2 linked regions of the Notamacropus eugenii genome follow. The protein of the gene in region 1 interacts with the protein of each later gene in a pairwise test. Links are inferred from orthologs where the notes say so. Each region holds a gene or a part of one and is shown on either strand. Other genes may lie near its edges. The genes, in order: SSC5D and SEC23IP.

Region 1 (14,865 bases):
ATCAAGTAAGCATGCTTTTATTAAGCTGCTACATGTTGCCAGGCTTGTATACAAGGTATACAAGGAAAGAAAAACCCCATTCCCTGTCCTAAGAGCTCACCATTTGATGCAAACAAGGAGGTACCAACAGGAGACTGGAGGTAATCCCAGAGGGAAGGCCCAAGGTGGAGGATGATGGGGAAAGTCAGGCTTCAGCTGAGATGTGAAGGAAGCCAGGAAGCAGCCAGGAAGCGGGGAGAGAGCTCTAGGCCTGGGAGACAGCCAGTAACAATGACCAGAGAGGGGAGCTGGCCTGTCTGAAACACAATCACACAGAAGGGACAGGGATGGGCCTCTGTATGGTGTGGAGTTGAGTACTTGACAAATATTATCTCATTTGATCCTTATTAGGAATCAAAGATATTAGTCTTATTTTACAGGTGAGGAAACTGAGGCAAATAGGGCCTCCCAGCTAATGATTATCTGAAGCTGGATTTGAACGCAGGTCTTTCTGACTCCAAGCCCAGTGCCTTACCCAGCCACCTTTGCTGCCTCTACATAGAGAAGAACAAGGTGTAAGAAGCCTGGAAAGGTGGAGGTGGGGCTCTAAAAATTAAATAGCATTTTCCACTTGATGCTGAAAGCAATAGGGAGCCACTGGAGTTTATTAAGGAGGAGAGGTAACATGATGAGACCTGCACTTCAGGAAAATCCCTTTAGTGATGGAAGAGAGGATGGACTGTGGAGTTTAGGGAGAGACAGAGGCAGGCAGACCTCCCAGCAGCTGTTGCCACAGTCCAGGCATGAGGGGGTGAGGGCCTGCACCAGGGTGGGGCAGGGTCAGAGGAGAGAAGGGAGTGGATTGGGGAGATGCAGAGGAGGTGAAATGGACAGACCTTGGCCAGGACTTGGATATGGGGGTGATAAGTAGTACGGAATCCTAGATGTCACCTAGCTTTTAAGCCTGAGGGCCCGAGAGGATAATGATGTTCTCCACAGTAATAGGGAAGGTAGTAGGGGAAAGGCTGGGGAGAGAAGATGATGAGCTCTGTGGGGGCTTGTGGAGTAAAGATGTCTGACCTTTACAGTCGAGGTTTCTGTGAGGGGGTTGGAGATGGGAGCAGAGAGCTTCAGGCTGGATACATAGATCTGGAAATCCCAGGCATCTCTAGCTGGCCATTGAATCCATGGGAGCAGAAGAGATCCCCGAGTGAGGTCATAGAGCAGGAAAGATGAGTTATGCTTTAGACATGTCAGACTCGATGCCCATGGGATGGACAGAGTCAACCATCCAGGCCTGACAATCAGGAAAGACACTGAGGTTAGCCTGAGGACTCGGGGTCTCTGGTGTAGGGATGATTGTTGCACCCTTGGGAGCTGACGAGGAGGCCGAGAGAGCTAGGGAAAGGGGGGGCCCGGAGGGAGCCATGAGGTATGGAAGGCCATAGAGAGATCCTGGGATGGGACAGTTAATTTGGCAGAGGAGACTGAGCCGGGAGGAGAATGAAGAAAGCCGTTTCCTGCAGACCTAAGGAGGAAAAAGGAACCTCTCCTTCTCAGTCCCACTGGCCTGGACCTAGGCCTCTTTTCCCCCCAAAAGCTCTTCTCCTTAGCATTCCAGCTATCCCCTCCCCCCAGGGCCCCCAGTGTTTCCACCAGGCTGCTCACTGCTCCTTCCTCAGGTCTCTCCTCGGGGGCCCACCCCACCCCTTCTCAGGCTCCCTCCACAACCTCATCCACCTCTAGCTTCCCATTGGCCTTTCCCCACCTTTCTGCCTCCCTTGAGATACCTACCATGATCTCCGCCCCACCCCCCAAATTTGGCTCTTACCCAGCCCCACCCCCCAAGTTCACCAGGAACTCCCCATCACTATTTTTACATAACTTATTTTCAATGAACCAAAGGCAGATTTTTCTCTCCCTCCCACCTTGGCTTCCTACTATGGGTCCCTCCCAAAGCCCTCCCTTCCAGAAATCTCCCCAGGGCTTAGCCTGAAGTCTAGCACATAGTAAGTGCTTCATTAAAACCTGATGACTGGCTGATCTGCGCCCTGAATATTCCCACCAGCCCTGTCCCCAGCGGATCCTTCAGAGGGCATCCTCACCAGCCCTGGCCTGTGCCCCTTCCCAGTCTTCATTAGCCTTCTCCCATCAGCCCCTCCCCACCAGGATCCCCACCAGTGAGTGCCATCTCTCTCTGTACCCCTGACTTGTGCCCCTTTATCCTCAGGATGGGGTGAAAGACACAGAGAACCGCGTGGCCCTCCATGCCCTGACTCGGCCCCCTGCCCTTCTGCTCCTGGCCGCTGCCAGCAGTGGCCTCCGCTTTGTCCTGGCTTCCTTCGCCCTGGCCCTGCTTCTGCCCGTCGCCCTGGCTGTGGCTGCTCTCAAGCTGATGGTGCGGATGCGATGGGGTTCACTCCCCTCAGACTCTGGCCTAGGAGGCCCCTGGGTGGCAGTGTGGGGAACTGATGACGTGTGCGGGGTCCTGGCCCTGAGGCCCGGGACCAGTGGAAGCAGCCTGTCCGTAGCTCGCCTGGCCGTGGCCCGCTGGCACCGTCGACGTGGTGTGGCCACGAAGCTGCTGGCCTTCGCTGAGGCCCGAGCCCAGGCATGGGCCCGCCAGGCAGGGGGCCCTAGAGCAAAGCTCATAGTTCCTGCTCCAGTAGGAGCCCGAGGAGCCGCTGCCCTCCTGGAAGGAAGGGGCTACCATCCTGAGGGGGGCTGGGGCTGGATGGGACACATATTTGTGAGGGAGTTTACGAAAGAATTCTAATGCCCACTGTGTCCTCTCCGCAACCTGGCCTTGGCTCAGGGAGGATGGAGCCATCCGGGACACCTGTATGCTTTCAAGTCTCAGCTCTGGTTCTGGCCTAGTCCATGACCCTGGCCTAGTCCTTCCCTCTGGGTCTCCATCACCCCCTAAGGACTGGGGGAAAGGATACTTGCACTGCCCACCTCACAGGATTAAATGTGGGGGATCACCCTTGGCCCATCCTCTGGCTGCTCCTTTTTATACCAGTGACTCTCTGATGACCCCCCATATCTCCCCTGTCCACTGTGGGGGTCCTCAGGCAGTCAGCCTCCAACTGCCTTTGGGTAGCTCTGTCCTCCGACCCCAACTATTCTGTGGTTCTGTGCCCTGCCAAGATCTCCCAAGGTTCTCATCCCATTTCCTCCCAGAAGTTCCTTCTCAGACATCCCTCCCTCAGACTCACTGAAGGCCCCTGCAAACACAGGATCTCCTGCTCTCGCCCCCCTCAGTTAACCTTTAGCCTCACTGGACCCCTCTGAGCAAGACTTCCCTCTTCCCAGAGCACCCTGCCCAGGATCCTTTACCAAGCGCCATCAGTGATCTTCCCCTTTTCTGGGGACCGTCCCGTGGGGTTGGACTCCCTTCTCCATCAGTTGGCTACCAGGATGACTCCCCTCTGCTTTGAGGACCCACAGAGTGACCCCCTGGCTCCCCCACACCTTGAGATGACCCTTCGTCTCTGCCTTGGGTCTCTCTCTCCCCTCCCATTCCTCCTTTCCCCTCACATCTGTTTTTATCCCCATTGTTAATAAACTGAAACTCCCACCCACTGCCTGCCTCCCTTCTGCTGTGATGCCTTTTCCAGGTCCTCCAGCCCCCTTTTCCAGGCCTGTCTGGCCCTGGAGCCACATTAATATTCGGGGAGGGAGGGAGTTCTGAGCCACTGGTGCTCCAGGCCCCAGACCCCAGACCCAGGCCCCAGGCAGGCTGAGATGAGCTCAGGCTGCAGGGCCCATCCCCTGCCAACCTTGATGACTCACGCTCCCCATTAGCACATTTTTTCCACCCCACATCTGCCTGCTGAGCTTGGGGGCCAAGTATCTGCCCCCGCCCCACTCCCCTTCCTCCCCCTCCAGCCTGGGCCCCACCAAGCCACTCTCTCTCCCCGCCCCTTCGATCCTGGGGCTATCTCAGGGCAGCCTGGCCTTCCCCCGCCTTCGGACAGGGACCTGCAGCTTGGGTCTGGCCATTTACCCTCCAGCCCTGCAGTTCTTTCTTGTCTCAACAAGTGACTGTTGGTTGGAGGCTGAACCCTGTGGTTTGGACCATTATCTGGACATCAACTGACCCTCTCCCCTAGTGGCATGGATGGTGGGGTAGGGCAGAGCAGAGGGGCTGCTGTGGTAAACAGTGAGGGTGGGACAGGAGCAGAGACCTGGAGAGATAGGCAGGAGTGGGAGACACCCAGAGGGAAGGACCCGAGGGAAGAGGGAGGTCCACTGAGGCAGAGCTCCAGGGCCAGAGGCTGCTCCAGCCCCTTTTGGCAGGTCTCCCGGCCCAGCGCCCGAAGTGTCTGGGGCCAGCCAATCCCCCCCCCCCCATTCCCCCACGCCTCCTCAGCCCCCTCCTGGTCCCCCGCTGCCTCCTCCACTGTTCTCTTCCCTTCCTGGTGCCGGCGTGTCCCCAGCCCCCGCCCGCCTGCCCGCCCCTCCTCAGTCCAGGGCGCTGCCGGCACTTCCCCTCAGCTTTTACTGCCTCCGCCTCCTCGACCTCGTCTGCTCCCCCCCGTCCCCCAGCCCCCCCAGCCTGGGTCCTAGGGGCTGGCTCTGCAGAGATGAGGGTCTTGGCCTACCTCCTTGGTGAGTGACCGCAGAGACCCAGAGGTCCCTGCTCCCAACCCCTGCCTCCTACTGACCCTAGCTCCTTCTGGGCATCTGGGAGTCCTTACTTCTCCCATTCAGGGACCCAGAGGTCCTGACCCCCAGCCCCTGCCTCCTAGACATCTGGAAGTCCTCGCTTCTCCCCTTCAGAGACCCAAGAGTCCTGGTCCCCAGCCCCTGCCTCCTGGACATCTGGGAGTCCTTGCTTCTCCCCTTCAGGGACCCAGGAGTCCCAGCCCCCAGCATACACTTTGCTCTTCTGGCTACTCTCCACAATCCTAAACATTTAGTTTTCATTACTTTCAAAAGGATCCAGCAGTCTGCCACCCTCCTCCAAGAGAGGTCCAGATGGCATCTTGTCCCCCATTGTCTTCTAAGATCCAGAAATAGGGTTCCCTGTTCCCTATTCCCTTCTCAAGAGCCCAGTCAGCTGCAGCCTCCACCGTCACTGACCTTTGTTCCCTGTGGTGTCCAGGTCTCATCCCCATCAAGGGTCCAAACATCTAGGCTCTCCTGGAAGCCAGGTTGAAGGTCCCTTCCTCTTTCTGAACTGTTCTCCCAGGGACTGGGGCTCCATTTCCTCAGGTCCTTCCCACTGGGTTCAGAGATCCAGGCATCCCCATTCAGAAACCTGGAATCCAGACCCTCTCCCCACTGCTTTGTGAATGCTCGACCCTGTCAAGGCCCTACACAGCTTCATACCTAACCCAGATCCCTGAGTGTCTCCTCTGAGGCGGTGACAGGGGCAAGGACTCCCCACCTTCACCTTATCGCCCTCATCTCTCTTCCAGCTGTTCTGATGGGGATTCAGGCTGTGGGTGAGTCTTTTCTGAGTCCCCTTCTCCTCCTTCCCTGTCATGCCCTTTGTCACCACCCAACTCCACCTCTGGGCTTTAGCTTTGGAGCTCACTGGATTCTCCCCTTCCCTCACTGGTTGTCTTGGGGATACAGGCATCAAGGATACTGTGGGCTAGACCACAGGGCTCCAAACATTAGGCTCTTCATTCTTTGTTCATGGGAACCCAGCCTTCCCCCTCCCCAGTACACAGCCACTCCCTCAGAAGCCCCGAGTCTCTACCCTGCCCATCATAAACCTAGGAGTGTGGGATCCCTGGGCCCCCTCCCCAACAGGGACCCAAGTGTCCAGCCACCCAGCAAACGTGTGCTTCTCCAGCCCTACTCATCCCAGGGACTCAGACCCTCTCAGCACCCCAGGACCTCCAACCCATTCTTTGGACAGGGACTCAGGCATCCAGCTTCCTAGCCCGGCTCAGTTCTCTAACCTTGAACTCAAACCCTCAGTGACTCAGCCTTTGGGTCTCCCAGGCCCTGCTCCCCTCACTGACCTAGCTTTTCTCAGGATCTCAGGTGTCTGCTCTCTAAACCTCAACTCTCCTCAGGCATCCATGGGGACTGGCATGCCAGCCCCTGGTTCCTTAGGGATAAAGATTTCCAGGACTCCTATCTGCCTCTTCAGCAGCTCAAGTATTTAGTGCCCCCAGGCCCCCTCAAAAGCCTAGGGATACTGCTGGGCTAGATGAGGGTCCCTCCTCACTGGACCCCCCTCGGCAGAGCGGCTTCGCCTGGCTGGGGGCCCCCATGGCTGTGCCGGGCGGCTGGAGGTGCGCCACGGGGGGCGCTGGGGAACGGTGTGTGACGACGGCTGGGACCTGCGGGATGCTGCTGTGGCCTGCAGGGAGCTGGGCTGTGGAGGAGCCCTGGCCGCCCCAGCAGGAGCTTTCTTTGGAGAGGGGATCGGGCCAGTCTGGCTGAGTGAGCTGGCTTGTCGTGGGTCTGAGAGCCGGCTGGGCCTCTGTCGTCACCGAGGCTGGAAGGCCCACATCTGCTCCCACGAGGAGGACGCTGGCCTCGTCTGTGTAGGTAAGAGCTCCAGTCCCCGGCCCTCCAGGGTCCTGCTCTTTCCTAATCCTCACCCTCTCCAAGATGGAAGTATCCAAGAACTCTGGCATGGGACCCCAAAGTACCTAACACTATGTTTTAGGAAGCCTGGCACTGGAACTCCCAGGGCCCTCCCCACTAAACACCACTAAGCTCTTCCAAATCTGCCCACTCCCTACAGGTCAGCGGGCAACCAACTCAAGGTCGGATTCAACAGAGCCCCTGGACCGGGAGCTGTGGTCTGAGAGCTCCCCAACATCCCCAGGTGAGGCCCCAAGATCTCCCCCTGCAGAATCTGCAGAGCCTGACGCTTACATCTCCCCTCCCCTTCCCTCATTCACCCTTCCCCTAGCTGGGAACCCGACAAGCAGCCCCCAGAAGGCCCCTCGGCCTCCCAAGCTGCCCAAGGCCACCCGGGCCCCTCTGCTGACTTCCAGTGCTTTCCGACAGGGTGAGTGACCACCCCCACATGTCCCTCTAAGATAGAGCCAACTCCCCTCACCCCCCTCCACCTTTTCATTTCCAGTTTAGTTCCCCCCCAAGTCCGCAGCCAAAACTACATCTGGGTACTATTAGGAATGTTCATGAGGTCAGTGGGGGGATACCTTTACTTCTTATCTCCCTTCATTCTGCCTGCCCCAACTCCCTGGGGCCTACGCGTCCAAATCCCCTTGCCCCTCCCCCCAGGACCCACATGTCCAACTCCCTAGCCCCTCCCCCGCCCCCAGGACCCACATGTCCATCTCTCTGGTTCCTGCCTCATTTGATGTCAGCTGATTCTGTACCCACTGTACAGCCCCCAAAAGGCTACCTACATGACCTGCTATTTTCATGGTCACCCCCACCCCACTCAGAGACTCAGGTATCCAGGCACCTGTTCCTTGCCCACCCTCTGCCTGTCTTAGGGATCTGGAGATCTGCCTCCTCATTCCCTACTGTCCTCAGGGACTCAGGTGTCCTCTGCATAGTCAGGTGAAGCCCTCTGGCCCTTGACACCCAGGAGTGGAGCTCCCCAGAACATATGGCCCACCCAGGCTTACCAGCCCCCAGCTTCCATTCTCCTCAGGGATCCAAGCCTCTGCCTCTTGGCCCCCAATCCCTCAGGGACCCAGGCACCTGGAGGGCTTAGATGAAGGCCTGGCTCACTGAGTCCCTCCTCTGCAGAGTATCTGCGCCTGGCAGGGGGGCCCCACAGCTGTGCTGGGCGGCTGGAGGTGTGGCACGGGGGCCGCTGGGGGACAGTGTGTGACGACGGCTGGGACCTGCGGGATGCTGCTGTGGCCTGCAGGGAGCTGGGCTGTGGGGGAGCCCTGGCTGCCCCTGGAGGGGCCCGCTTTGGGGAAGGGTCAGGTCCTGTTTGGATGGATGATGTGGGCTGTGGAGGAGGGGAGCAGGCCCTCCAGGACTGTCCCCGGAGCCCTTGGGGACGAAGCAACTGTGACCACACAGAGGATGCCGGACTAGTCTGCGAAGGTGAGTCCCAGGGCTCCCAAAGCAGCCCTCGGGGCTGAAAATCCTGTGTTTGCTCCTTTCTCCTTGGCCCTGCCACTGCCTGCCTGGGAGTGGGTCCCTTCCATGATCTGGGCCTCGGTTTCCCCATCTGTAAAATGAACTGGCTGGACCAGACAGTGTTGAGGGGCTCTGTTTTTTTTATTGCCATTGCTATATGTTTTAGCATATCATATAACAGGAATAAGGTCTTTTCCACACCCTGACATTCTAGTCTGTAAGGGAAGGGGTTCATGGACGACCCCAACCTCTACCATTTCTAGAATCTCTTCAGAGGACTTATCAGACCCCTCACCCCAGCACAGCCTCAGCCCCTCACCTGGGTGCTGCCCACCCCTGTCCTGCCTCTAACCCCACGCAACATCCTCATCCTTCCTGATGAGCAGGAAGATAAGGGAAAAACTGGAAAACAGATTGATGAGCACGGACATCAGGGGTCCCCAGGTCTTGACCTTCAAAGCCCCCTGGAACCTTTTCAATTTCTTCCTAGTCTCTCCCCTCCCTCCACACCAACTGACTAGGATGGGCAGGGGGAGAGTAGGCAGCTAGGGCCACAGGGGCACATGGGAGCACAGAGAGGGAACAAGTTTGGAGAGTTAGGGGCATGGAGAGCAGATAGAGGAGCTAAGCTGGGGGACTCAGGCCAGTCCCAGTGTTGGAGACATAGAGGAGAATAGTGCAGACTGACCCTTGTTATTTCTTTTCCCCACACCAGGTCCAGCCCCCCACTTGCGCCTGGCGGGGGGTCCCAATGGTTGTGCTGGGCGGCTGGAGGTGTGGCACGGGGGCCGCTGGGGGACAGTGTGCGATGATGGCTGGGACCTTCGGGATGCTGCCGTGGCCTGTAGAGAACTGGGCTGTGGTGGTGCCCTTGCTGCCCCAGGAGGGGCCTTCTTTGGGGAGGGGACTGGACCCATCCTGCTGGATGACCTTCGGTGCAAGGGGAATGAGACATCCCTGGGGTTCTGCCCAGCCCGCCCCTGGGGCCAACATGACTGTCACCACCGAGAGGACGCAGGGGCTGTATGTGATGGTAAGAGCCCCTCTCTACCCCCACTACCATGGCCAAGGTCATCTCCCTGGGCACCCCATGCACCCTACTCTAGGTGCCTGTGGACCTCGCTCTATTGGCCCCCAGCTCCCCCTCTTGGAAAGGGCCCCCAGACATGGGAGACTCTTCAGGGGCAAACAGAGTGCCCACTCCTCCACCACGACTGACTGTTGGGGGAGAGCCTCACCTCCCCAGGCAGCAGTCTCCACTGCTGGACAGCTCCCAACGCTGGGCCACTTTCCACCTTGAGCCTCTTCTGCCTCTGCAGCCCTGCCCACAAAGCACTGGGCTAGCCTGCCTTCCATGACGGTGCTTCGAATATTCGAAGTCGTCAGAGTGTCAACTTTTTTTAAGTACCTACTAAGTGTCAGCCACGACGCTAGATAGAAAGCACAGCAGACCATTCCTGCCTCCGGAATCTTACAGTCTGCAATGCACCAACAGTGGTGGACAGACAAGTGAGAAAAAAGATAAATAGGAAACAACAAAGGAATTCAGAGTGGGGGAAGATTCATCCTGTAGAAACTGGAATTTTAGAAGGGCCTTAAAGAAAGGCAGGGAAAGCAGAAGGCTGAGATGAGAGAGAATGCTCCAGGCATGGGAGAAAGCCAGAGAGGATGCCCAGAGCCAAGAGAGGGAGACATAGGAGGCTGGGGTCCCTAGGAAGAGTGCATGAGCTGGGGTAAGTGTAGGGAAACTGGAAGGGTGGGGAGAGATTTTGTAATTGACCGTGGATGCCATAGGGAGCCACTGGAGTTTATTGAGTAGGGGAGTGACCCAGTCAACCCCGCACTTTTAGGAAGATCATGTTAGTGGCTGAATGGAGGATGCATTTAGGGGGAGAAACTAGAAGCAGCCAGTCTTCCCATCGGGCCATTGCTGAAGTCCAGGTGGGAAGGGAGGAGGGCAACAGGGGAACAGTCCTCCTTTATGTCACCTTCCACACAGCTTTCTTTTCCATTTACATCATACTGACTCATATTAAATTAAAGTTTAATCGAGCCATATGCAGTTCCTGCCATGAAGTTGTGGCCCTCTATGGCCCCTTGATCTTTTCCAGATGAATAGTAGCATGGCTGTGCCTTTCCACTTTTTACTTGTGAAACTGATCTTTCGAACTCAAGTGCAAAACTGTAATTACTCCTCTTAAACTTCACCTTCTACTCAGTGTTTGACGCAGTCAGCAAGCTGCTAGACCCCGACGTTTTAGGGAGAGAGGGGAAGAGACAGAGACAGAGAGACAGATGCAGAGAGAGATAGAGAGCACACTCGCAGCTCACTGTCTCCTCTGAGTTAGATGATTTGGAATCTTCGCCCTTATTCCATTAGGTGATAAAAGTATTTAACAGAATCCAGCCCAGCACAGATCCCTGGAGCATTGCATTGGGCACCTCCTGCCGAGCTAACATCAAAATATTAATAGTTAGAAAACATCAATGGCCATTCAACTAGTTCTGAATTCAGCTAACTGTACAATTTCATGATAAGATTGGGTTGACTATAAAAGAGAGTTCTTTACTGGATTCATGGAAAATGTAAGAAAATAAAAGTGACTCAGACAGTCCAGGGCATTAAGCCTACAAGAACAGTACGAGGTATTTGATGGAATGCTTAGCTACCTAGCCACATTATTCTCCTGGTCTACTGGTACCTAGGTCAATAAAAGAAATGGAATGGATCTCTTCCCCCAGTGACCCTTCCCTCCCCCATCCCTTCCCCCACCGACCCTTCTCTCTCCCCCTCCTATTCCTCCTCACTCTCCTCCCTGCCCCAACTCTCTCCCTATAGACTCTTCTTTTTCCCCCACATATCTCTTCCCCACATTCACTCCACAGATATGGGGGAGTAGGGAAGAGGAAAAGCTGGCTAAGTGGCTTCAGTAGTGACTTCCTTATCATGTCTCACCCCTATCCAGGTCTGCCTCTGGGCTTGCCCACCCCAGGCAGCAGCAGTGTCGGGGCCCCAGAGACTCAGGCCCCCACTAGTGGGCCTTCTCCTGCCTCTGCCACGACCCTGCGGGAACCAGGCCCTAAAGAGGGTGAGTGAGAAGCTAGTCTGACCCCTGGGGCTTCTGCTTTCCTGGGGTGGGGAATGCAGTTATCTGGCCATTGGGTCCTCCTGAGGGGTCACCAGGAGACTGAAGACCTTGACAATTGAGTCTTTTGCCCCCCTGACCCAGAGCCTGCTCTCAGACTGGAGAGTTGGTGCTGCATTTAGGTCAGTCTGCCCAGAAAGGGTGAGGGTTTCACCCTAGGTCACCCAGAAAGCAATCCTTCAAACCTCTCATTTCACACGTGAGGAAGCCAAGGGCCAGAGAAAGGCAGGATCCAAGAGATCATCCTCCTTGTCTGAGGGGAGGGGGCTCAGAGAGGGACAATCATTAACTCAAGACCATGCATCCAGTAAGTGGCGACCAAACCCAGGCCTGGGCTTTCAGGTCACGTGCCAGCTCAGGTAACAGCACACTTCTCTTGGGCAGGCTGTATGAGTCATGATGCTCAGAACAGGACAGTAAAAAAGGGATTCTTTAATCCAGCAAAGAGGCTAAAGCCAAAGTCAAAGGTCACAGACTCAGTCATGGAACAGGCCATTCTTCTCTCTGGGCTTCAGTTTCCCCATCTGTCCAATGGGAGATTCAATTAGATGATTTCAAAGGTCCCTTATAAGTCTCAATCCTATCACTGTGGGTAGGGAATGGGTTGGAGGGGAGTTCTATCACTGGGCCTTGCCACCCAGGCTGCTCATGACCTCTGCCCTCTCCCACAGGTACCCCTCACCTTCGCCTGGTATCTGGGCCAGGCCGCTGTGCTGGGAGGCTAGAGGTGTGGCATGGTGGTCGCTGGGGGACTGTGTGTGATGATGGCTGGGATGTGCGAGATGCTGCCGTGGCCTGCCGAGAACTAGGCTGTGGTGTCCCCCAGGAGCCGGGTCCGGCCGCTGGCCGCTTCGGCTGGGGGGAAGGCCCCATCTGGCTGGATGACGTGGCTTGTAGTGGGACTGAGGTCCGGCTGGCCAACTGTCCTGCAGCCCCCTGGGGGAAACACAACTGTGCCCATAATGAGGATGTGGGGATCACTTGTATAGGTAAGGTGTTCCTATCTGCCGGCAGCCCTACCCCCAGGGCCAGCCCTACCTACCCCTCCTAAGCATCATCTTGGGGAGTTTCTTGGGGAAGGGTGGAGGGAGGAGAAGAGGAAGAGTTCCTTCCTCTACACTCTTGGGGGTCTCCCCTACCTTGGCTAGGAGGGCTTCTTTAGACTGGGGGGCCTCCCTTCTTGACTTGGGGAGGGCTTCTAGGAAAGAGGGATCTCTTTCCCCAGATCTGGAGGGCTTACTGAAAGAAGTCTCCCTTCTGAAATTGAGGAAGACTCCTTGGAAGAGTTGGGAAGTTCTCCCAAAAGGGCTCTGGGAAGGAGGGAGAGGCACACAGTCCTCTGGCCAAACCTAAGAGAAACACCTGGAGGAACAGACCCAAGGAGCTTTCCTGGAGGGGACCTTTATGGACAATCAGGAGTGTGACCTGGCCCCTGCCTTCTCTCCCCAGGGAGTCTCGGGCCTGACTCAGTCCCAAACCTCTTCAGCTGGAGCTGGGCCCCAGAGCCACGTGGGAATGGACGGGGCTGGCCCATCAGGAAGTGGACCACTGAGAATCCAGGGAACATAGCCACCCAGCTGACCACTAGCAGCCCTGGAACAACAGTGGCCAAACCACCAGGGAGGACTCCATATAGCTCCAAAAAGTGGGCTACGAAGAAACCACGGAAACCAACAGTGCGACCACCTGGACAGTCTACCACTAAGGTCCCAAGAAGGCAGACAACTCGGGTTCCACAAGGCCAGGCCTTCCTCAAACTGACCACACAGACACCCCGAGGCCGGACCCCCCAGGCCTCTCCCAAACCAACCACTCAGATTCCCAGAGGTCAGACCTCCCAGGACTCACTACTGTTGCCCTCTCAGACCACACTACTGAGCATACCAGTGACATCTTCGGCCAGCCCCTCGCTGACCACTTGGTCCTTACAAAGACAACCTTCCCAGGTCATCCCACAGCTAAGCACTCAAGGCCCCAAGGAAGCAACCCCAAAGGATCAAGATGAGATTTCCTCTGAAATCTCCTTAGACCCAGGTTCTTCCACACCAGGGGCTAAGACCAGCTGGGGGGCCTTCAAGACTTTACCCACAAGCACCCCAAAAGACTTGTCCTCTCCCCAGACCTGGCCAGGCTCTGGAGAGACAGGTAAGGCTAGAGCAGGTAGAGGGGCTGGTAGAGGGAAGGAAAGAGGGCTGGGGAGAGAGGTCCACAGGTGGGACTGAGCCTTGCCATGTGGCCATGGTCAGGTCTCCTTCGGCTGCGTCTCTCCGATGGGCCCGATCGGTGTGCCGGACGGCTGGAGGTGTGGCGTGGAGACGTGTGGGGAACAGTGTGTGATGATGGCTGGGACCCCCGAGATGCAGCTGTCGCCTGCCGGGAGTTGGGCTGTGGTGGGATACGGCCCCGCGTCGGCAAAACCTACTATGGATCTGGGACAGGCCCCATCTGGCTGGATGATGTGGCCTGTGTGGGCACCGAGGCCTCGCTAGCGGACTGTCCAGCCTCGCCCTGGGGGATCCACAACTGTGAGCACCAGGAAGATGTAGGGCTCACTTGCACAGGTATAAGGCAAGAAACCTAGAATGGGCTGGGAAAAAATGGCTCTGTGATCCCGGCAGATCCCATGATCCGAGGGAACTAGAGTGTCAGGGAGCCCAGACACCCAGGGCTAGTGTAGGGAGCAGTGAGGTGGGGTAGGGCATGAAAGGAATGGAGAGAACGAGGAAGTTGGACAGAAAGAGAGAGAGAGCACTAGTGGATGCAGAGCCTGGGCACCATTGGGAGGGACCAGCAGGGGACTGTGGCTTCTTCAGGAACCTGGGTCTAAGGGCTCTGGGAACCTGAAGGCTCCTGAGGTCAGTCATTGTAGGAGGAAGGACAGGGCTTTGCAGTCCTGACAAATGGGTCTTCTGGCCCCCCAGGGAGCCTGAAGTTTCAGAATCTCCCCATCCATCCCCACAGGAGACATGGAGGATGACAGTGATGTCCCCTGGGCCTGGGACACCAGCTCTCGCAGGGATGTGACCTGGGGAACCCGCACAACAGCTGCTCCCAGCCATGACCTCACCTCTGAGACACCCCAGGACCTTGGAGATCCAGGTAAGGAGCAGGGCCAATCCAGAGATGGGACTGACGGTGCTAACTGGGCCCCAGCCACCTCCTAAGAGCACGCCCTAGAGATCCTATGCTGTGTGAGCCCATCCTCACTGGGGTCTGAGCGTGCCCACAAGAACAGACCAGAGTGAGCCCAGAGACCCCCCCGCAGCGACACACCTGGGAAAGCCCAGAGACCCTATAATAACGTAGCCAGGGGATCTCAGGGACACTGAGGCCAGACCTCCCAGGCATCAAGTGAGGTAGCCCAGAGAAACCCCCATAAGAGGTGGGAGGCCCATCCCCTCTTGGCCCCCATCCCAGCACACCCCAGAGAAGACCAAGGCAGTGCAGGCTCTTCACAGGCTATGGCTGCTTCCCCTGCCCAGTGCCTTCCCCCATGGGGGGGCAGTCTGCTGTCCCTCCGGCTCCCTGGGGGTGCCCCCTCTATGTATCTGTCTGTCTCACTTCAGAGAGAGCATTTGTTTTGTCTCTAACCCAGCTCCCTTCCTTCCCCCACCCCCAGTCCTCCTTGGAGCTTGCCTCCCTGGCACCTCCCCTCCCCCATCTCCACTCTCTCATGGTTGTTTGTCTCTGCCACTCC
Region 2 (14,839 bases), on another chromosome or scaffold:
CTCAATCTAGATCATACATACTGATAATGACTTTTTTTAAGGTCTAAAGGAAATATCTTAAATATGAGATTAATCACACCATCTGGCAAATACAACCCCAAATCTCTACTTAAGACATAAATTCATTAATTGAAGATGGGGGGATGGGGACAGACCTGTGATGTCAAAAGAGTGAAGGACATTTATTGAGGAAAAAACTCACTATCAATGCAGGTCAATAAATGGGTTATTATTTTGCAATTTAATGATCTTAGAGAGTTGCTGGGGTAACTTAGAAGTTGTGACTTGCCTAGGATCAGAGTTCTTGCATCTAGGTCTTTCAGATTCTTGAGGCTGGGCTCTTTTGGGTTAAATATAGGAATGTGAAGATAAAGCATTGAATAACAGATAGTAGACTGGTCCTGGAATTGGAAAGACTTGGGTTCAGGTACATCCTTTGATACATACTAGCTCTGTGACCCATGGGAAAGTCCCAGAAGCTAACTTTTTAAGTTGCAGATGTAGTTCACTACAGTGATAAAACTGCAGGTTAAGGACCAAGAAAAAAAATTACCATATTTACTCCAGGGGTGAGGAATCTGCAACCTCAAGGCCACATGTGGCCCTCTAGGACCTCAAGTGCGGCCCTTTGACTGAATCCAAACTTTCTGTTCAGTATTCCTGCTTGTGCTTACAAGTAAAAATCATTATTTCAAGACTAAAAAGATAGTTACTCTATATTTAGGCACTCATTACTAAAAATAATTCTCTCCTGTCCAGAGACTGACTAGAAATATACCTAATTATTCTCATGCCACATTATCTACGTTAGCAAACATCTATTACTGAAGCAATGTTTTATCACAGCACAAGAAGGAACTGTGAAATTGCCATCCTTCAATAGTGTTAACTGCAAAATATACCAAAAAAATCCAGCTTTTGATTTATTAACATACTAAGACCAATAAGCATGAGTACTGTATTATTCATAACCGCTACACAATAAATAATCCATGGAATTTTAAAAACACTGTTGAACCCTGTTATAAAGCTGATGGCACCATATATCAACACTGTATGCTTTACTATGCTATGAGAAATGCATATCTCTGTGTGACAAAGACAAAATGATTTGAGCAAAGTGTAGCTAAATCTCTGGTACACAGTAACCAATCTAATTTATCCAGAATCCTGGAGAATAAGTATATTATACACACACACAAGAATAGGTTCTTGAAGAATGTGTGTGTATACAAATAAATAATTTGTATAAGGCATTTAAAGACTAACTTAAAAAACAAACAAACCCCATTTTTGGTGGAAATCCTAAAATGAAACACACACTTTCTTCTCTAATTAAATGCAGCATGCTAAAGATAAATCTGTTAACTTTTGCTTTAATTACTCAGGATCACCATTAAGAATATCAACTATTACACTTCTTTATTGGAATGACTCTTAGAGATCCAAAAGCTTAAGACAACAAGTTCCTTCATGAAAGGGCCTCAAATACTCTACTTTGAATTTGTCAGTTTTAAAATAGATTTCTTGCTTCTCCCCTTACTTCAGCTGTTAAGTCTCCCTGTTGTCAGTGCCCCTCAGAGACGTGGAGATGGTGATGGTTTCCTGCTTCTATTCTGTCGTAGACTGGGAAAATGAGTTAGTTGTCCGCAAATTAAAAGTAAATAAATGGTCAACATTCCTCCATCCCCCAAGATCTCCAAATTTGCGGGTTTTATGTCAGTTACTATTTCTAAAATTTACTTCCTACTTCTTGAAGTAGCCCGATAAAGGACGTCCTCAGTGAGCCAGGCAATAGCTGGCATTACATGCTGCTTTACAAACCCTGTCTCAGTCTCCCCAGGACCCTGAGCCTAAGTCCTCGCACAAGCCCCCGCTCTCTTCACGACCACTGCCCCCGTCTGTGGCACCGCAGAATGTTCACACCGGTTTTGTCCTTTTCAACTTTACCCGATTCCCAAGAGCACTGACAGAATGCCTGGCTGGAGTAAAGAAGACTCCACTTCCTGGCTTTAAGAGTGGCCTGGGATCCTAGCCGGGGGACCCTGGGCAAGTCACTTAGCTCCGTTTGCCCCAGCTCCTCTTCTGTAAAACGAGCTGGAGAGGAAACGGCAAAGCCGTGCAGGACCCGCGGGCCGGCCGCCCCGTCTCCCACCAGCCCAGCCCGACGGCACCCGCTGCGGCCTGCGCCAGTCCCGGGCCACGTTCCGGGTCTGGGGGCCCGGGGGCCCGGGAGGGAAGGGAGACAAAGTTCCTGCCCGCTCCCCGCCCCCCGCAGGGGGCAGCCCGAACCGTGCGGCGGCCCCGGGGCCGGGGGGTCGCCCGCCGGGTGGCGGGGGAGGGGGCGCTCGGGTCGCCCCTTCCTCAATCTCCGGGCAGGAAGGACTCCCCCGAATTACCTAGGGTTCCCGGGGGCGCCCCCCACTCACCAAAGAAGCCCTGCACGATGCCGAGCGGATGGTTCAGCCAGTCGTCCCCACACGGCATCTTGCCGAGGGGCGCGCGGAGCGGGCTGCCCCGAGCGGGGCTCCGGGGGCGACGGCGGCGGGCAGAGGGAACGATCGCACGTCCTACCGCCTCCTCCTCCTCCTCTCCTTTCGGGGTCGGCCCAAGCCCCCGGCCGCTCCCTCCCTCGCCCACGCCCACGCCGGGCAAGCGGCAGCGGTCACGGAGCGACACCGCCCGGCCTCGGGCTCGCCCCGCTCCCGGCAGCAGCAACCACGGCAGCGGCGGCGGCGGCAGCTACGAGGCGGAAGCGCCAGGAGCCCCCCTCGCCCCCCGCCTTCCTCTACGCTATGGCGGGAAACGGACGCGCCGACGGCGTCGCCTCTGACCCCCGAGCGCGAGCTGGGGAGGGGGCGGTAGTGCATTCGGTCGCGCTAGGAGGAGGGGCGGGGCGGGGCGGGGCGGGGCTTCCGGGCCCTGGCGGCGGCGTCGCCGTCGCCGCCATTTTGGAAAAGGTCAGAAAAGGAGGGCAAACTGGCGAGGCGGGGCTGGACTGGGGAGAGCCGCGGCAGAAGCTCGATTCCCCGCGCCTCCTCCTCCCGCGGCGGGGCTTGGAGCGGCCACCGTCCGGGGCACCAGAGGCAGGCCCCCTTCCTGTAGCCCCTCCAGCTCAGTCCAGCCTTCAGGCTCTGACGTGACTGGCCGTTGCGAGTAGGGGTCCCTAGGCTTGTCTGTGACTCTGGGAAGATTAAGCAGCTCGCATCTACAGAGTGGGAGACTGAGGCAGCGCTCCTTCCACAGAGGCGCGAGTGCCGGGCACGTTCTCAGGAGCCCTGGGCAGTGCCAGCTGCCTCCTGGTGTCTCTGAAACCTGCCTCCCATACGTTGGAACTAGTGACAGGGAGGTCCAGCAGTCAGGGCTTGCCTCCAGCTGCCCTCGGCCGCTGGTGACCCTAAAGGACGCAGGGACTGAAGCTCCTCAACAGCCTTGTCGGGGTCTGGAATGAAGACAGATTTCACGGGTGGCTACATAGATGGCAAACCTGAGTTAGAATAGATCTAATTAAGGCTCATTTTTATTGCTGTGAAGTCCTGCACTTTATATGCAAACACACACACATGTATGTGTATATATATACATATATTTCTCTATACGGATACATACACTAATTTATATATACTCATTCTGCTTATATGCTGTGCAACACTATGCACTATGTATATTCTACATTAGATATACACATACATGTATATTCACATAATATGTTAAATACACATTTATGTTAAGTATAGAAACACATATATTAAAGTCCTAGTGAGTGAAAATTTGAGCAGAAAAAAGCCTAGGCACCTTGACTAGGTTAAAGAAGGATGCCTTTAAAGGTGGGCTATTTGATGGTGACCATCCTCTATTATGGTCTTAGTACCTACAGTATCTGATACTTAAGTGGTGCTCAACAAATGCTTGTTAGATGAATGAATGAATGAATGCCTTTGATTAGATGTCATTTAGACTTCTTGTGAGATTTTGATCACCCAAATGGTAGGGGTGGGAAGTGACTTTAAAAATCCCAAGAGACTGATCCCTTAATTTTGCTAAGGTACACCATACCTCATGTTTCTACAAATTCACAGATAATCTTTTAAGAGCTATTCAGCTGAATATTTGTCACCTAACAATTAACCCAAGAAAGCATATTTCTGGAGTTAGCTAGATTAGACTTTAGCCAACATCAAATGGCTCTGATTTGTAAAAAGGACTTTAAAACCCTTTAAAACTATGTAAATGATAGCTATTACTATGATGATTATAACAACTGTCACTTCCTTTCTGTCTAGAGAGTACTGGCCAGACTTTTCATTCTGCTGACTGAGCCAAAAAGAACCAGGATTTTTGTTGTTCAGAATAGGACTTCAGCTCTCACCACCTCTTCGTGGCCTCTTCTTTTACTCCCTGGAAATTACTTTGTATTTATTTTCTGCTTTCTTTGTAGGATCATAGATTTAGAGCTGAAAGGGACCTCAGAGACCATATAATCCAGGGGTGGGGAACCTGTGACCTCAAGGCCATATGTGACCCTCTAAAGTTCTCAAGTGCGGCCATTTAACTGAATCCAAACTTCACAAAATCCCCTTAAGAGGATTTGTTCTGTAACGCTTGGACTCAGTCAAAAGTCAGTACCTAAAGACCTAGAAGGTCACATGTGATCTCAAAGCCGTAGGTTCCCCACCCTGATAGAATCCAACTCCTTTGTTTTACAGATGAGAAAACTGAGGCACAGAAGTGTTGAAGTAACAAGGATACATGAATCAGAGGCAGGCTTCAGATTTAGGTTCTCTGACCCTAAGCCAATGTTCTTTCCCTTTTATTCCAATGCTATTTCTATTCATGTTGTTTTCCCTAGTATAATGTAAACTTCTTTAGCAATGGAATTAGTTTATTTCTATCTTTGTATCCCAAGCACCTAACACAGTGCCTGGCAATATTTTCCTCATTTAGAGTTAAATAGTAAAGATCTTAACACATTCATGCCTATTCATGTTGTGTGACTTGTCGTCCCACAATTTTGCCACATACCCAATATGCCAGAACCTTCCTTTCTTTTTTCCCCTCCTTTTTTATCAGATTTTAAAATTTTATTTGCATGTTTTTAATAAACTGTGCATTCTAAGAACTGAAATCATTCAAAAAATTAGCACTGATTAACTGCATTTTATAGCTTCCTCAGGCCTTGTTACAGCTTTGCATTTTTCTCTGTTCACTAGATTTACTGTATTCCCACCCAGACTCTTCTTTCACCAAAGTGCAGGCTCTTTTTATGCCACTTGGACCAAAACTAGCCAGAGAAACAGATGAAAAACCTGCATAACAGTGCCTTTTTTCATTGTTGGTAGTTTTTAAAAATTTTTCTGATATTGAAAGGGGCAGCATGGTCTTTGGAGGTGATAGACAACCACTGGAGTTTACTGAGTAGCAGAATGACATGGCCAGACCTGCATTTTAGAAAAATCACTTTGGCAACTGAATGGAGAATGGAGTGGAGAGAAACTATGGCAGGCAGACCCACTATTGTAAAAGCCCAATTGTGAGATGATGAGGGTCCGCACTAGAGTGGTTGTGTTTGTCTTTCCTTCTTGAACAGGACCATGAATCAAGGTAATGACATGACTTGCAGTTGACTTTGCTTTGAGTGAGGGAGGGCTGTGCAAGTCACCAGCCTCACTTCTCCTCCAGAGCCATCTGAATCCAGCGACCAGATATTCATCAGGATGACTGGAGATGGCCTAGGATGCAACCAGAGACCCTGGCCATTTTAGGTTAAGGTCTTATCAGATTCTCACTTTGAGACACACCCACTCAATGAATGGGCTTCTTTAAGTGGTTACTCAAGAGACCGTCCTTTAATAAAAAAAAAAAAAAAAAAGAATCAAACTGGGAGGGGAAGACCCTCAGGGTTCCTGGGTAAAAGAGAAACAGTTATTATTTCATCTTTATGTTCACTCTGTGCTAGGTGGGTGGGGATCTGTTGTCCAATCATTGAGCTCCAGAGTGAATTGGGTTTAAGGCTTGGTCCTTGAGCAAGAAATCTAGTCAGTAAACTCAAAGGAAAAAAGGCAGCTTTTGGCCCTGGAAATGTATTTTCCCCTGGGTAGAGCACCTCAGGCCAGGACATAGAGGAGGGGAGGGGAGGGGAGAGGAGCTGCCATTCCCTCACAGGTTGTTTGTCCTTCATTCTCGAAGAGGACCATGATGTCAAGATGATAACATGACTTGCAGTTGACTGATTTGAGCGAAGGAGTGCTGTGCAAGGTCACTAGCCTCACTTTCTCCTTCAGAGCCATCTGGAGGAATCTTGTAAAGATGAAATCAACAGGCCTTGACAACAAGTTGGATATGAAAGGCAGGGATTTTTTCCATTTTTTTTTTTTTCGATTTGCATGGTGTGGAGGATGGAGGCCTGGACTCTGGAGTCAAGGGGACCTGACTTCACATTTCATCTCAGACACTTGCTAGCTCTATGACCAGGAACAAATCATTTAACCACTTTGTGCTTTGTTTTCCTCATCTATAAAAAGATGAGGTTGAACTTAATGGACTCAAAGTTCCCTTCCAGTTCTAAATCTATGATCCTAAGATCTTATATATTCCAAAGCACATGACTCTTGAAAAATTACTTTATACCAATGGTGTTAATACTTGTGTTTTCTCCAGTGTCTTATTAAACAAATGGAGATTGTCCCTAATTTGCCTTTTCATAGCCCTGGCAGTTAGGCAGGATGATTAATTTATTTTCTTTCTGAAGCATTACATTTTTTCCAAGAGGTACATTACATTCTTCTTAGAATGCATTGAATTCTTTTATCAGTATAGAATTGCTCTAATTCTTTTTATTTTGTAGCCCAGTTAACTTTTCCAGAAGGGAGGGATATACTGGGAAAGAGATAAAAGAAATTATCTTGCTCCATCAACAACTACTTATGCCTTTTTCCAATTTCTACTCTGAATGGAATAAAGAGAATGTTATTATTTATAGAAAGAAGGGGAAAGGCAGTGGCTAAATTAGGATGGGGTACAAAAACAGAATATTCTGCTCCCTAGATGACTTGACAAAAAATAATTTAGTTAGATCTTTTAACTGTCATTTTCTTCTCTATTAGTAATTATTTTCTAATAGGAAACTTGTAGGCCAGTACAATTTTACTTTAGCCCAGAGTTAATGGTTCTGGACCAGAAATGTTCTAAGCTCCTTAGAACATTCCTGGTTCCAAGTTTGCCATATTACAATCTGATTCTATTTGAAAAAGCCTTGAAACCATTTTCATGTTCCCTAGAGTATTCTGACCTTTCTGGTCAGATTATTTGTGGGAAATATTTTGTATCTACATTTGCCTTAGTGACTATTTCTTTACTTTTCTATTTTTTGAACGCTAGAAATAGAAATAAAAGTGCCAGTATTAAAAATACTAATTGGTTTTGAAAGTTAAATTGTACAATTTAGATACTATTCAGCAAGCCCTGAATACTTATTTCTTACATTTGGTATAGAATAATCACACCTTCTGACTTTACAAAGAATAATTCTTGATACAAAACTAATGCTCAATAATTGCTGACAGTTTTGGGACTATGGGAGCACGGTCTGTAAATTTTTTTTTTATTTTAAGCTGTATCAATATAATTAGCTTCTTTTGTAATCATATGTATTTTATTTTATGAATTTAAAAACATTAATCTGAGGAGTCCATAGGATTCACCAGACTGACAAAGAAGTCCATTTGATCAGTTATTCCTAGATATTTCTCTTCTATGTGACCTAAAAGTCTTAGCCTAGCCCTCTATTGTCTGTTACCTCTGAATTACCTCCAGCTGTTTCCACCCTCCACCACATCAAAATCCTCTCTGGGTTCTCACCTCTTGTCACCCGGGTCCCATCAAGATCCTCGCTAAATCCCTACTCCCATCACCCCAAACTACTAGACCCTCCCCCTCCGATCCCTCCCACAGTCTTTCTGTACATAAGATCCTTCTCATCTCCATGAAGGCGCTCAGATTCAGTCTAGCTCTGATTCTCTCTGGCTGAGATTCAATCTGGCCTGCTGGTCAATACAAGTGTCACAAATGCTTAGGCTCCTTAAGAGTCAACCCAGTATAAACGTTGTTTTTCTTTGGCCGTATTCATTTGGTCAGGACCTGGGATGTTGGCATTTTGGGGTCCCAAACCGCAACGTTATTATTCCCTAACCTCAACAGTACAAGGGGAAGACTGCGAAAGACCTCCTGCAAAGTGTGGGATCTGAGCTGAGACCTGGGGGAAGCCAAGGGCAAAAGGAGGGGGGCATTCCAGGCCCTTCTCTTATGGAAGGAGGGAAGGCATTTCCTTAGTTCTTTTTTACAATCACAGGGTACACTGTACTGGCTACACTGCCCAGGAATGCTGCATATTCGTCCCTTTGCTGGTTCTGCTTCCTCCAGTGTGCATCTTCCGATGCTTCTCTGATGCCCCCCCATCTCTGGTTCTTAAGTGGCTGCAAATACTCTTCCATGACATTCACGTCCAGCAGTTTTTCTGGCCAAATCCCCGAACTGACGAGCCCTGGCCTCATTTCCAGCTGTTTGCTGCCATAAAAAATGCTGCTGGTTTGGTTCCTTTGCGTAGAAAAGAACATAAACCGCTCACAGCTCCACAGCGCCACCTTCTGGCAGATCTGCCTTCCGGGTTATGCAAAAGGGCGGGGCTCAATCAACGTCACGAGTGACATCACTAGTCTCCTCCCAGGGCACTCGGGGGCACGCCTCCAAAGTAGTTCCGGAACTGTCCTTTGCCGTGTGAAACGTTCGAAATGCTTTCCTTTCCTTTTGCTTCACGTACTTTTTGTATCGCCTGTAATGTTCCTGGTACGCGGAGCTCGCCCTAAGCCCGTCACCCATCTTCCCCGAACTCTCGAAGCCCCAACTGTCTCCCAGGCTCGCGATCGAGTGAGGCCGCGGCGGCCATCTTGACTCCGGCTCAGGAAGGGGTGCTGTAAGAGAGCCGCCGTAAGGCACGGAAGGGGGCGGGGACGGGGCTGGCCAGCTGATCTTGGAAAGCTCAGCGCGCAAATGCGGAAGCAGCCCGGCCCCTCGTCTGACCCGTTTCCGGCCGGTGGAGCCGCACCGGCTGGCCTGAGACGTGTAAGCGGGAGGCGAGCCGGAGCCATGGCCGAGAAGAAAGCTAACGGCGGCGCCGGCTCCTCCGCCGGCACCAACTTGCTCTTCTCCTCGGCTTCCGAGTTCCACTTCAATGTGCCTTTCATCCCTGTCAGCCAGGCCCCCGCCTCCCCGGCCTCTCTGCTTCTCCCGGGAGGTAGGAGCGAGGGCTGCGGGGGCCGGGTGTGGGGTGATGGGCACCCAGGGCAGTGGGCAGTGGAAGTGGACGGCGAAGCGGGAGGGGGCGCTCCGAGAGGCACGGGGCTGGCACCCGAGAAGGGGAGGGGCCGTGTAAGAGCGACGGAACTCTTCCTCCTTGTCCGCCCCCCGCTGTGTTCATGGGGGAGCTGGCAGAGATTTGAGCTCCCGAGGAAGAGTGGGTACTTCATGGGAGGGGAATGGCCACCCCGAGGTGGGGATCACTAGAGAAATGGAGAACTGCAGTCAGGTACGAGTCTTAAAGGGACTGGAAAACCTTCCTCTCCGGCGCGTTGGTAAGAGGGATGGACCACCAGTGAATGCTGAAGGGTTCCCGTGTGGGTTTCCAGGGGTCTTGTCTCCCGCCCTTCTGTGCTCCCCAGCGGGAAGGAAGGGGTTACCCACTCTCAGGGGGTCGTTAGAGTGTAATTACGGGGAAAGGGGAGGAAGCCTGTTTTGAAAAGTGGGGGAGAGAGCTCCGAAGAATCATCAACTGTGAGCCGTTTAGGTGGAAAATTTGCCAACGGTCCAGTGACGTAGGTAGCCCAGGACTAAGGTTTTCAGCGTCGAAGAGGCGGAGGCTGGGGAGGGAAGCATTTTGGAAAGCCAGCAGTACCTTGCCATGCTGGCAGAGGTACCGGATCTTGGACATTGATGGAATGCGAAAGCCCCGGATCACTCTTGGAGGTGCATTGACCATATTTCTGCTTGCCTTCCTGTTAAAGAATGGTGGTGTGTAACTAAACATTATCACTAAACGTTATCAGCTGCTTATATCTGGAAAACTAACTTGAGCTTTTAAATACTTGTATTTGCACTTGAAGTAATTTCACCTTTAGGAAGAAAGTGAACAGCGCCTGTTACATAGTAGATACTTAATAAATGCTAGTTGACTGATTGACCAAGATTTGAAACTAAGTAACATTGGACGTCTCTGTCTTTCCCCAGTCCCCCACATTCAATAAGTAGTGAAGTTCTTTTCATGCACAAGTTATTTGTGTTACTAATAGTTATCTGTAGCTGATTGTAATTGACAAACTTAGTGAATGAAAAGACTCAACCGAAGGAACACTGTTTCTCATGTGAAATAGAGTGTAGGAAGGAAGTTGATTGGATTAGAGAGTAAAATGAGAGTCCAGCACTGGAAGAGGTCCAGAGTTTCTTGAAGGAAGGGTCTAGTTTGGGCCACCATACTCAGAACCAGGCAGACCTTGCCCATTCCATTCAATTGTGGAACAAATCAATGAAAACTCAAAATAGCATGAAGAAATATCTTGGATTGAGGGATCCCTATGGGATAAAACCTAAGGAATATAGTATCTACCTCACAAGTCCAGGTAAAGCCTCAGGAAAAAAAATTTGTGCTGGTCACTGGGATTTCCAGGAATACCTGGAAGAAAAGAAGTAATAGTGACAGAATAGAAGGTTAGGGAGGCAAGTGTGGAATAGAAAACTGACATCTTAGAACATGCAGTGAAAACCTTCATTCAAGAACTGAATTCAAGGGCCAAGCGAAAAAACACAACAGGAAATATTTTTTAAAAACTCAAAAGATTATAAAACGAAAGGCTGGACTATGCATTTCTGTGTGTATTGACTTAATTCTCTTTTTAAACATTTTTATTTATTCAGGTAGTGTGTAGTTGGAAAGACAAATTAATAGAAAAAATTTACACACAGATGAGGGAGTTCAGAAAGGGACAAAGACAGGCATGATAGTTTAGTATTATTATGGTACATTTAACATACACTTTTAAAAAAGCAAGCTGTATATAATACACCTGAATTGTATTGAATGTAATTGAGATTCACAGTTTCATATACAATCCTCTTTCTTGTTCTGTCTTTGAATATCCATATTTGAATGTTGATATTTGTTGATATTTTTCAATTGAAATAATAAAAAACAAAATTTTAAAAAATGGTATAGAACTCTCATACCAATTGAGAATCACTGGAATGTTTTGAGGAATGGAGTGACATGAATAAAAATGGAAGGCAATGAGAAATGAGTAGAAAATCTTTTAATATACTTAGAGCCACATAGACATTTACTGGGTCCTGGCAGAGGATTTTGTGCTGGAATTTGAGTAGGATGGATCAGTGTGGAGTGGAATAGGATGAGCCCATATAATAATAGTATAAAATGACAAAATCATTGATGTTACAATTCACTTTATGTTAAGATTGAATGTATAGAAGGATTTAGGCTTTGGACATATTTCTTGGGGATTGATGATGGTGTTTCCTATGAGTCTGTTTATCTTGGCCAAAGAGATGAATGATAGTTCAAAGCTTTAAATTTTTGTCTGCCTTAGTTATTAGTAATTGACTTTACTAGTTGACTTGGTGTTTTTAAAATATCAATTTGTGGTACTAGATGATTTGGGGAAATATAATTCACTTGATTTTATTGTCAGCAGAATTTTCATTTGTAGAATAATTGCTTTATGTTTTAGAATATAATGTTGCATCTACTCTTGTCAAGAAAAATTAATACATTTATTTGAATTTCATGTCATTACCATAGAGCTGTTTGAGTAGTGAAGAACATAATTTCAATTATTTATTGCAGCAGTTCAAAATTCATTGACTGAGTGGATACATTATTAGAAATATTTTGCAGTGTAAGTTTTAGAGAATGGCACATGCTTTTTCAGAACTAAGTGGTAAATTTAATCTCAACTATGTTTCTACTCTATTCTTTATTTCAGAAGACTCTACAGATGTTGGTGAGGAAGACAGCTTCCTTGGTCAGACTTCTGGTCATACTACTTTACCACAGACATTTAGTTATTTCTCTCAGGTATCCAGCAACAGTGATCCTTTTGGGAATATTGGACAGATGCCATTAACAACCGCAGCAGCACCTGTTGGAGTACCAACTTTGTCTAAGCCTCCAACTTCCCTTCCTCTTACAACTGGATCTCCAGATGGTCCACATACATTCTCATCACACATTTCAAAGACTCAGTCTGTTTATAGTGTTGCACCACCTTCACAGATGGGAATCAGTGCTTATCAGTCTTCTCCACATAGTAGTCTCCCACCTACTAATTTTGCAAGTTCCCATGGAACACCACAACAAGGATATAATCCATATCGCCATAACCCTACCAGCAGCAGAGCTAACCCTTATATTGCTCCACCACAGTTGCAGCAATGTCAAACACCAAACCATCCTGCCCATCCATCATCCTCTGGACCACCTCTTCAGATGTATCAAAGTCCTCCTGGATCAATGCCACCGGTATAGAAATTCTCTTTAATTCACTTACTTCTTCTAATTCTCATCACTCTTTTTAGTCTTATCCTGCATTTCAAACATTCTGTGCTTTTTAAAAGCAGGAATATGAAAGTTAATTATTTTTTATTTTGGTAAATAGTATTTTATTTTTTCCAATTACATGTAAAGATAGATTTCAACATTCCTTTATATAAGATTTTGAATTCCAAATTTTTCTAACTCCCTCCCTTTCCTCTCCCATCCCCAAGATGGCAAGCAATCTGATATAGGTTATACATGTGATTTGCGGAAATGTATTTCCACATTAGTCATGTTATGAAAGAAGAAACAGAACAAAAGAAAAACCACAAGAAACAAAGTGAAAATAATATTCTTCGATCCACATTCAGATTCCATAGTTCTTTCTCTGGATGTGGAGAGCATTTTTTGTTATGAGTCTTTTGGAATTGTTTTGGATCATTGTATTGCTGAGAAGAACTAAGTCAGTCATTATTGATCATTGCACAGTGTTACTGTTACTGTGTACTATGTTTGCCTATTTCTGCTCACTTTGCTCATCTTCAAATCATTTAAGTCTTTCCAGATTTTTCTGAAATCCACCTGGCAAGGTAATTACTTGTAAAGAAAATGTGAAACCTATATTCTTTGTAGTAAAAGCAATTTTAAAATAAGATGATTACATTTATTCTTTCTTTTTATTACTTTAAACTACTTAAAGTAACTGATTAAACTGAATAACTTGCAAATAAAAGAAGTTTTAATGTAATGCAAAGTATGAGTAACTTTATAAAATGAGAAATATTCAGGAGCAAATATTTTGGGATATAATCAAGTACAGTTTTCATTTTTAAAACCTTAGTTATTAAAATTGATATATACTTCTATAGCTGCTTTTAGTTTTTTTAAATAGGTACTTGATCTAAATAAAAAAAATATTCTATCATATGGTGTACTGTTGGAAGAAAATTTCTGCACCTTTTATGAAACTCTTTGATTTTTAAAAAAATTTTTGATTAAAAAAAATTATGAATTGTTAACTGATTCCAGAAATTCACCTGGAGCTACAAATGAAAAGAATAAAGTATCTGATCCACCGAAACAAAAATAAGTGATGTGATGACCAGCATCAAGTTTAGTTTGTAATCTTGTTTTGTTTTCATTCTAAAGTGTGGGAAAACAGGCATCATCACTAAGTTCATATTTCACTCATGCTATGTCAGCACACAAAAATCCTGAGGAAAGGCTTTTCATGCCCTTAAAAAGTAACTAAATTGATTTCAGTCACAGTTTTGTCTTAGTGCTTCTAACTTGAAAATATTTTAGATAGAAAAATTTCCTTCTTTGATTGTAGGGCTAGTTTATAAGGCCCTTAGGAAGATCTTAAGGAGCATTGTTAGGTGTGAAGAGAGTGCATAATTATTATTTCCAAGATAATAATACTTCACATTTGTTTAGAACTTTAAAGTTTGCAAAGCCCTTTACATTTGAGCCTTAAAAGAATTGTCTGGGGGAAGTACTATGTAGATATTATCCCAATTTTACAGATGAGGAAACTGAGCCTCTGAGAGACTGTGATTATACAGTTATTAAGTGTTAGTATCTAAGGTGCTCCTTGTTGCCTCTGAGTTCAGGCTGCTGCATCTCAGACTTGGAGGAGACATGGGGTTTTTCTTTTCAGATTCCTCCAGCAGGACAGACAGTCTTGTCATCACCAGTACAACAGCAGCTTCTGGCTAGACCTGCAGCTCCTGTGATACAAGCACCACCTCCTCTTTTCCTCCAAAATCTGTATGAGGCAGTTCAGCCCCATTGGTTTTATTGCAAGGAAGTGGAATACAAACAAATATGGCTGCCATTCAGTATGTTTGATTCTGTGCATCTTGAAGAAGTCTATAATTCAGGTAAGTACAAATTTTCTTTATTTTTTGGCAGGGTGGGATGAGGGAGAGAAAAATTTTAGGTATGCTGTTGGAGTTGAAGGACCTTATTCCTTTCTTTTCCATTGACTTTTTGTGAATATCAAATTACTTGGTTCTCTTTTTTTTTTAAAGGTGGAAAGTGTTAGTAATACTTTTTGATCAAGGGGTATATGTTTTGAGTTGAATGATCTTTCATTTTATGTAGAAAAACTGTTTAAATAAAAATCCTTATATAATCCATCTATTCATTTTTTGTTGTTTTCCTCTTTTTAGGGTAGCAAAGAGACATTTGGCTTCAGAATTTGATTTTTATAAAGCAAGAATTTATTTCTTTGGAATATTA

Evidence for each region.
Region 2: the proteins of SSC5D (region 1) and SEC23IP interact in binary tests that used the Homo sapiens proteins (3 or more experiments, as listed by UniProt). The two-hybrid records come from large-scale screens. The link is inferred for Notamacropus eugenii from reciprocal best matches to the Homo sapiens genes SSC5D and SEC23IP.

The regions. Positions count from the first base shown.
Region 1 is NC_092876.1:18,059,917-18,074,781, forward strand, and holds the start of SSC5D (soluble scavenger receptor cysteine-rich domain-containing protein SSC5D), read left to right. Parts: upstream 1-4,345; 5' UTR 4,346-4,568; coding exon 4,569-4,593; intron 4,594-5,325; exon of another isoform or gene 5,326-5,405; coding exon 5,406-5,432; intron 5,433-6,186; coding exon 6,187-6,495; intron 6,496-6,694; coding exon 6,695-6,964; intron 6,965-7,677; coding exon 7,678-7,986; intron 7,987-8,737; coding exon 8,738-9,055; intron 9,056-10,988; coding exon 10,989-11,111; intron 11,112-11,839; coding exon 11,840-12,157; intron 12,158-12,617; coding exon 12,618-13,313; intron 13,314-13,414; coding exon 13,415-13,729; intron 13,730-14,129; coding exon 14,130-14,267; intron 14,268-14,865. Other genes in the region: NAT14 (probable N-acetyltransferase 14), read left to right, coding at 2,210-2,451.
Region 2 is NC_092872.1:200,041,949-200,056,787, forward strand, and holds the start of SEC23IP (SEC23-interacting protein), read left to right. Parts: upstream 1-9,015; 5' UTR 9,016-9,045; coding exon 9,046-9,289; intron 9,290-12,044; coding exon 12,045-12,580; intron 12,581-14,255; coding exon 14,256-14,478; intron 14,479-14,839. Other genes in the region: MCMBP (mini-chromosome maintenance complex-binding protein), read right to left, coding at 2,430-2,487. UniProt on the Homo sapiens protein: Plays a role in the organization of endoplasmic reticulum exit sites. Specifically binds to phosphatidylinositol 3-phosphate (PI(3)P), phosphatidylinositol 4-phosphate (PI(4)P) and phosphatidylinositol 5-phosphate (PI(5)P).